Linked DNA regions of Sus scrofa. The protein of the gene in region 1 interacts with the protein of each later gene in a biochemical or structural test. Links are inferred from orthologs where the notes say so. Each region holds a gene or a part of one and is shown in the gene's direction. Other genes may lie near its edges.

Region 1 (4,281 bases):
GGCGCGTAAAATTGATGTGAACTGAACGAAGTGGGATCGGCGTGATCTTCCCTCTCTTGTCTCAACAGGGGTTTCGGAGCATTACACAAGGCCGAGCTTGTCTCTTTAAGGAGACATTGGACCCTAATTAGTCCGCATTCCTGGCGCGGCCGGGAGCAAGGGGCCGAGGGTGTTTAGATTGGAGCGGGGCGGGTGCGAGAACCCGAATTCGGAAGATCTTCTGACTAGCCTCCAGTCTCACCGCCCCCTCCACCCTCTTTATTTTGCCGCCACCATCGCCACCAACACCCAGTTCTGAAGATACAGCCAGGGCAGAGGCAACAGCAGCAGCAGCAGCCACCGCTTCTCCCAGGCCCACGTTACTTTGATTGACAGCCGAACAAATGTTTCCTCGGTTCGAACGCTCGCGCTAAGGAACGTCATCCAAGGCGAAGCTCCGCCTTGGGCGGGCCATCTCCGCCCCGCCTCTGCTAACCCCATAACGTTCCATTCATTGGTCCGAGCCGCGGACGACGCCCGGCCCCCACGTGGGTTCCAACCCCGCCGGCTCCTCCCCCCTAGCTTGCCATTTGTCAACAGTGAAATGATGGGCAGTAACACAGAACAGCGATTAATGTTCAGCCATCTCTGATTGGTTGCTGGAGACGCCTACTGCGCAGGGGGTGGGAGGGGCTCTTGGAGAGCACCCCAGAGTGGTCGCGTGGCGGGCCGGTGATTGTAGTCAATCTGGCGGAATCCTCAGCTGCGGCCGCCGGGGGCGGACTACATCTCCCGGGATGCTTCGCGGGCCCTCCACGGACGGTTGTGAATATGTATCAGAATGTTAATGATTAGCCGCTGCTAAATTTGGTCAAAGAAGTCACCTACACCGAACGTGTTGTTAGAGCTGTTCCGAGCGGGTGTTTGGGCTGTTGGCTGCTTTCTTCCCCCTCTCACACACTTGTATATTATTTTGAGGTGGTGTTCGCAGAGTTTGAAAGGAGAGAGATTTTTTTTTTTTTAAAGCCGCAAGCGTTTCACTCTCTTTTATTTTTATAATCCCCTCCAATTTGGGGTTTAAAAAGACAAGAAAACAGGAAGGAAGAAAAATAAGGAAATGAGATGTGGTAAAAGAAGCTAAAAGGTGCCTTTTAAAAGATCGTTGCTGTGAGGTGAAAAAAAATCTCCAGAGAAACCAAAAAGCACCGCCGAGATCTCTTCCGAACCAAAGGAGTTTGTGTTTGCTTTTAGGAAAGAAGAGAGAGATCATTCATTCGGAGGAATAACAACCAATTAAAAGACAAATAAAAAAAGTTTGGAGTGGGACGCCGAGCGAGCCAGTGAGCGAGCGGGCGGCGCTGCCGGCAAGCGCTGGGACGCGGAGCTCGCACTTTCCCGGCTGGGTGAGCGGCGCGGCCGCGGCGCCAGCTTCGGCGGGCGCGCCTCGGCGGAGCGAACGTCGGAGCGTTGCCGCGGGAGACGCGCGCCGGACAATGCCCGCGGCGGGCCAGTGACGCCCGCGGGGAATGCAGAGGGGCCCGGCTGTCTGCACCCAGCCCGCCGCTGCCGCGCGTTCCTGCCGCCCGCGTCACGCGAGACCCGGCGGGGGCCAGGACCGCCCGAGCCGCCCCTCGGACCCGGCCGGCCGCCTCCGCCGCCTCTTCCTCCGGGCCTTTAAAGCCAATGAGCCGCGCGCTTCTGCCCAGCGTAGCCAACTAAATCGGTTTGGATGATTCGCGACCTGAGCAAGATGTACCCACAGACCAGACACCCGGTGAGTGCGGGCGTCAGGGGCGCGGGCTCGCCGAGCGCCGGGGGATTCCCCGCGTCGCCCCCTGCGTGCCGAGTTGTGTCTGTGACCAGAGGGGCGTGGAGGGCGGCCCGAACCCGGCTCCCTGCCCGGGGAGTCGCCCGCCCCCACCACCTCTCCCCCCGGGCTCAGTGGCACTTTCGGAGCCAGGGTGCGGAGAGGCAACAGAGTTGTAGCCATTTTCTTATTGTTGTCTTTGAAGCCCCTGGAAGGCGCGCGGAGCCGTTTGTCGTCCCCGCGCCGCGACTCCTCTAGGAGGGGTGGCTAGCGATGGAGGAGGCGCGACTCCGCGCCGGGGCGGGGAGGGCGCCCTCAGCGGCGGCGCGGCGGGTCCGGCAGCGGCTCGGGAGTGCGGGACGCCTTCCACTCGCGCCGCACGCCCAGGGGAAGAGCGAACCAGTCGGCCGGGGAGGGTGGCGGCTGCGTGCCCCCTCCCCCGACCTGACCGCGGCTCGACGCCATGGCGCGCGTCCCCCCGACTGGCCCGTTTCGATTCCGGGTGGGGAGGCAGTGGGCGCGGCGCTCCGGGTGGTTGCTCACGGCCGGCGAAGGAGGAGAGCGGGGGTCTCGAACCCTTGGGGGGCCCGAGCGGGCGAGAGGACGCGGGGGCCCTTGGCCAGCCCGCTTGCAGCCTCCACTGGGCTTTGCGGCCAGGGGAGGGGGCAGGAGGAGAGTTTTAATCGCTCTTTGCCTGCTAGCGCGATGACACCCCCAACCCCCCGCCAGCGCGGCGTGCTGTGTTTTCTGCATCTCTCTGCCTTGCCTCTACTGTGGGCTAATTAAATATTTTATTGTTGTTCTTTAGGCACCGCACCAGCCTGCTCAGCCCTTTAAATTTACCATTTCCGAGTCCTGTGATCGGATTAAGGAAGAGTTTCAGTTTTTACAGGCTCAATACCACAGGTAACGATATTGACTTTAGCTGATTCTTCTGTTTGCTTAGCTCTTGTCTCCCCACCCCCGTACAACCCCCCCTTTTTTTGGCCACCGCAGAGGTATTGTCATTTTTCCTTGTGGGCAGAAAGGGCAAGTCCAGGCCTCTTTTCCTTTGGCAGGTGTAAAGAAATTAAGCATTTCCTCCTTCTCCCATAAATTAAAAAACCAAAACCTTAAAAGGCCGAACAATCGAAACTGGGGAGACTTGGAAAACGCTGAGGCCAAACTTTCGATATTGATTTATTGGGGCAAGGAGAGTGGAAGGTTGGAAGATTCTGGGGCCTTTTGACTTCCTTGGTTCTTTATTACTCTGCTTTTGATTCCTTCTTATTCTGCCATTCCACTGAATTACCAGGGGCACAGAGCCGTGGGAAGTCGCCAAGCAGGTGATTTCATTACTTTTATACTGAAAAGATGTTTATTGTCTTAAAAAGACAATCATTAGACTTAGAATGCCTTTGAAATATTTTTCTTTTGCTGGATTTTTGATGACGTGTGGTTTTTACTTCCTAAATGCCAGACCAAAACAAGCCACTGAACCGGATCCATGCCTTGCCCCTGGGTGGTGGTATTCAACTTGTCTCTGTGTTTTGGAGGGAAAAAAATAAGACATCATTCATAAAGCTTGCTTGATTCATGTTTTCATTTTAATCTCTTCGTGGAACATTAAAGAAAAAACTCCCTTGTGACATTTCAGGGGACTTTGTGTTTGGAGATGTAGACATTATTGATAATTATTTCCTCTTTGTTTTATTAAGTTAGTGAATATTCTGGATGCAATTCGCGTTAAATTGGTCATTTTTTTTTTCTTTTAAGCAAACAAAACCATCACATTTGATCCTTGTTGAAAGGGCAAGTCCAGGCTGGTTCCAATCACCCTTTTCTCTTTCTGCCTATTTCAGTAATGAGGGTGGTATTTAAGATAGTTGATTTGATGTTTTGTAGGTGGTGATTTGGAAGAGGGAATGTGTATTTACATTTGAGGGATGTAAGTCAGGTTCTGCAATGTACTTAGATTTCCTTTTTTCTGGAACAGCCTGAAGCTGGAATGTGAAAAACTTGCCAGTGAGAAGACAGAGATGCAGCGGCATTATGTGATGGTAAGAAAACTGTGTCACAGATTCAAAGTGCCTATTAGTTTGGGATGCCGAAAGCAAGAATATGTTCAGATTGCTGGAGGCTGCAGGATAGATCACAGTCAAAGTGCTGGGATACTGGAAGTCGTGGGAATATGACCATTAGCAACCTGTAATTCCAGGATGTTAGAACTTGCCTCTGACAACCAGCTTTGATTTGAATTTTCAAAAAGTTTAGCTGCATGGGGTATAATTTTCTGTCCTCAGTTTTTACAGATTGAAAAAAGTAAAAACCTCATTTATGTTTCATTTAGAGTCACAAACAAAATGTTTCTGTGTTAGTGGTTTTCTTTGTTGTTTTATTGCTCTTGCTCTAAAAAATTTTAACCAGAGTTTTTCTGTAAACTGTTAAAATTTTAATGTTATATTTTTTTAAAGAATGATGGTTAAGACACTAGACATCTTGTCCAGTTTTCCCCT
Region 2 (3,500 bases), about 5.4 Mb from region 1:
GAGTCAGGTTTGAGAGCCGGGACTGCTTCTAAATTCCAAAAGGGAGTTGGGTGGGGCGCTTAATCTTCTGATCATTTGTTTTCCCCTTTATAAGACCCTGCTGGCCTCTCAGGATTGGTTGAGGATCAAGATAATTCAAGGAAGACTCTGTAAACTGTAAAGCACTGTGCCTAAAGAATGAGTCGTCGTCGTCATTGTGTTGATAGTAACGAATGACTTTCTATTGTAAAGTTGAAAGGATAATTGGAGGCTGCAGAGATTGCTGTGTGCTTTCCATTCAGATACTTTTTTAGACTTCGGGCAAAAAAGCGATTTCTTGGATATTTTTGAAAAACCCTCTTTTCGACTACTAACACATTTTCAGCAATTACAGAAACAGTGAGGACAGGTTGAGTTTTGCTTTGTGATCCAAATTTGTACATGACTCACTCTTCTCAATGAAAAATGGAATTTGCATATCCACATCACTGCTCCCAAATTATTTCATCTGTTTCTAGAATAGTCACTAACTTGGCCCTAACCAGACTTACCTAGGCTGAGCATTTCAGCATCTCTTTAACTGCAACCAGTCACTGTTATCGGTTACCAGCCCTTGGGAGAATCACCACTTTCCCTTACCTACTATATAAACTCTGGTTTGGTTTAAACATTTCTAAAAATGTCTTTTTCATTAAAATTTTTTTTTCAACTGCATGATCATCTCCTTTGCAAGAGGAAGTCAAGAATTCCTCTGTAAATGTTGAGAGAGACATCCAGTGAAGGCTCAGGCTCAGAAAAGGAATGAAGTAATTTTTTTCCCCTGAAATGATCTTTCATGGCACTCTTCTCCCTGGTCTCGGTTTTATTGTAAAACCCTGACATCCTATTTGTGTTAACGAGGAAGAGCTGATAGCATGGAAATGTCCTTAGAAACAGCGATTTACCTCAGGGGTGGTCTCTGGAAAAGCTGCCGTGACTTGTGGTTTTCTGGTTTTTTTTTTTGTTTTGCTTTTTTTTTTTTTTTGATTGCTTGGGTTTTGACATATATATAACTGCTATTTTCAGTTAATTCTGGAGTCCAACACCCTTTTAAATTTTACACTAGGGTTATTGTTTTTCTCTTATGGAAAAAAGTTGCATCTTAGGGAAGGGTTTCACAGTATGTAGACAAGTCTTCTTAGACGAAGGGAGAGCTGACACATGAAGGGCACAAGTCAGCTTTCTGGGGAAATTTTAGCTCAGGAGGCTGGGCCATAGTCCTGGTTTACCACTGGGTCTTGTGTGACCCTGGGCAGACAGTTTAACCTCTATAGATCTCTGTTTTATATTTGTAGATAGGGACCTATTTATTTATTCATTGTCATTCAAAACATTTATGTGTTTTAGAAATGTTGTGGGGATCAAATGGGAAAACTGACTTGAAAGTTTTCTGTAAACCTTCAAATGGTAAATGGTAGATAGATGTGACAGAATTAATTAAATCATCAATGCATCGCATTTTAACCAGCACTGTCCAATAGAAATGTAACGTGAGCCATGCATGACATTTAAAAATTTCCAGTAGTACATTTAAAATGGAAAAAGGAAACAGGTACAACTAATTTTAATGATATTTTTAACCCAGTATATAAAAAAGATGATCATTTTACCATGTAACAAATAGAAAAATCATTAACGAGATTTATGCATTTCTTTTTTGTACTGAGTTTTGAAAATCTGGTATATATTTTACACCCACAATGCATCTCAATTCAACCGAGCCCTATTTCAAATGTTCAAAAGCCACATATGGCTAGTGGCTACTGTATTGGACAGCAAAGATCTGAATATTTCTTGGACAGAGTGGTCCACTATTTTGTTATCAACATGTATTTTCCTGGTTTCTCAAGGTTAAGCTCCTTTTTCCTTGGGTCCTAGGTATTATGAGACGGGGAGCATCAAGCCTGGGGTAATTGGAGGATCCAAACCAAAGGTCGCCACACCCAAAGTGGTGGAAAAAATTGCTGAGTATAAACGCCAAAATCCCACCATGTTTGCCTGGGAGATCAGGGATCGACTGCTTGCGGAACGGGTGTGTGACAATGACACAGTGCCCAGCGTCAGTTCCATCAACAGGTGAGGGCTGGTGTTTGTGGGAGGCTAGAGGTCTGGGTAGGGTGGGGGTTCCTGGGGGTCTCTATGTGCCTTTTCTTTCTTTTTTTTCTTTTTTTGCTGTACCCATGGCATTTGGAGGTTCCCAGCCTAGGGGTCCAATCGGAGCTACAGCCACAGCAACGCCAGATCCGAGCTGCATCTGCAACCTATACCACAGCTCACGGCAACGCCGGATCCTTAATCCACTGAGCAAGGCCAGTGATTGAACCCACAGCCCCATGTTTCCTAGTCGATTTGTTTCCACTGTGCCGCAACGGGAACTCCTGCATGTGCCTTTTCTAAAGATCTTGTCAAGACCACATAGAGGTTATCAGACAGGAGGGATGCTAATGGGGCTGGATGAGTCTCTCTATCACCCTTTCTTTCTCTCCAAAGTGGGCATGAGTCCTAAGCCCAGGGAGAGGAGGCCAGGCCAATACCCTGGCTGCTGGAGAGTCTCCTGAGCCCAGAGTCATTGCCTTCACTCCCTTCACCACCTGCCTCTGTGTGTGGAGCACTTAACTGTGAATTTTCCTGTTAGAGTTTCATAAATGTCACTTCCTTGCAAGCCAAAGCTCAAGGTTAGCACTGGCGCAATTCAGAGCTTCCCAGGAGGGAGATCCCTGCCTCCAGCTTGGGCAGAGGATGAGCCATTGAGTGTGGGGAACAGAGCCTGGACTTGGAAGATTTTAGTAGCTCCTTTTGCCAGCTTTGCTGCAGACATAGCCTGTGATTTTTTTTTTTTTTTTTTTTTGGTCGCACCCATGGCATGTGGAGGTTCCTGGGATGAGGGACTGAACATGCAGTGACATGAGCCATGGTAGTAACAATGCCAGATCCTTAACTGCTAGGCCACCAGAGAACTCCCTATGGTGTGCTCTTGACAGAGCTCTTCCTTTCTCTGAGAGCCCAGGACCCTGGTGGTTCTGATGGGAGCCTGTGGCCTCCAAGAGTGACATCCAGGATACTAAGATGCCGTGGAGTTAAGGGGTTGCCCTTTTCCCAATTGCCCCAAATCTTACCCCTGGAGAGAAAAAAACCAGAGAAATACTATGAGTACCAGGCATGGGATCTTCTTCTTGGGAGCTCCTTCTCCTTTCCAGTCTTGTCTAGAATACATTCAGTGGAGCTCTCAGAGCTTCAAAATGAGAATTCCTAAAAGTTTTCTACTGGAGATGGGTTTCAATGGAAATGAAACACATAGAGTCAAGGATGAAGTTGTGAGATGACAGAAATGATTGTTTTCTAAACTCCACAAAGAAAAGAGGAGCCAGCAGACTGAAAACCTGAACAGTTCCCATTTCTCCAAGGTCAGGCCCTACTCTTGTCAGTGCAGAGCCGGTCTGGGCATAGGGGACCCCTCACCCCCGGCAGAACGAAGCGGTCAG

The links. The genes of interacting proteins can lie anywhere in the genome.
Region 2: the proteins of TLE4 (region 1) and PAX5 form a complex in vitro, tested with the Homo sapiens proteins (2 studies listed by BioGRID). The link is inferred for Sus scrofa from reciprocal best matches to the Homo sapiens genes TLE4 and PAX5.

What each region holds. Positions count from the first base shown.
Region 1 is NC_010443.5:232,355,098-232,359,378, forward strand, and holds the start of TLE4 (transducin-like enhancer protein 4), read left to right. Parts: upstream 1-1,481; 5' UTR 1,482-1,708; coding exon 1,709-1,753; intron 1,754-2,094; exon of another isoform or gene 2,095-2,249; coding exon of another isoform or gene 2,250-2,288; intron 2,289-2,594; coding exon 2,595-2,692; intron 2,693-3,761; coding exon 3,762-3,825; intron 3,826-4,281. UniProt on the Homo sapiens protein: Transcriptional corepressor that binds to a number of transcription factors. Inhibits the transcriptional activation mediated by PAX5, and by CTNNB1 and TCF family members in Wnt signaling.
Region 2 is NC_010443.5:237,764,955-237,768,454, reverse strand, and holds part of PAX5 (paired box protein Pax-5), read left to right. Parts: intron 1-1,896; coding exon 1,897-2,094; intron 2,095-3,500. UniProt on the Homo sapiens protein: Transcription factor that plays an essential role in commitment of lymphoid progenitors to the B-lymphocyte lineage. Fulfills a dual role by repressing B-lineage inappropriate genes and simultaneously activating B-lineage-specific genes.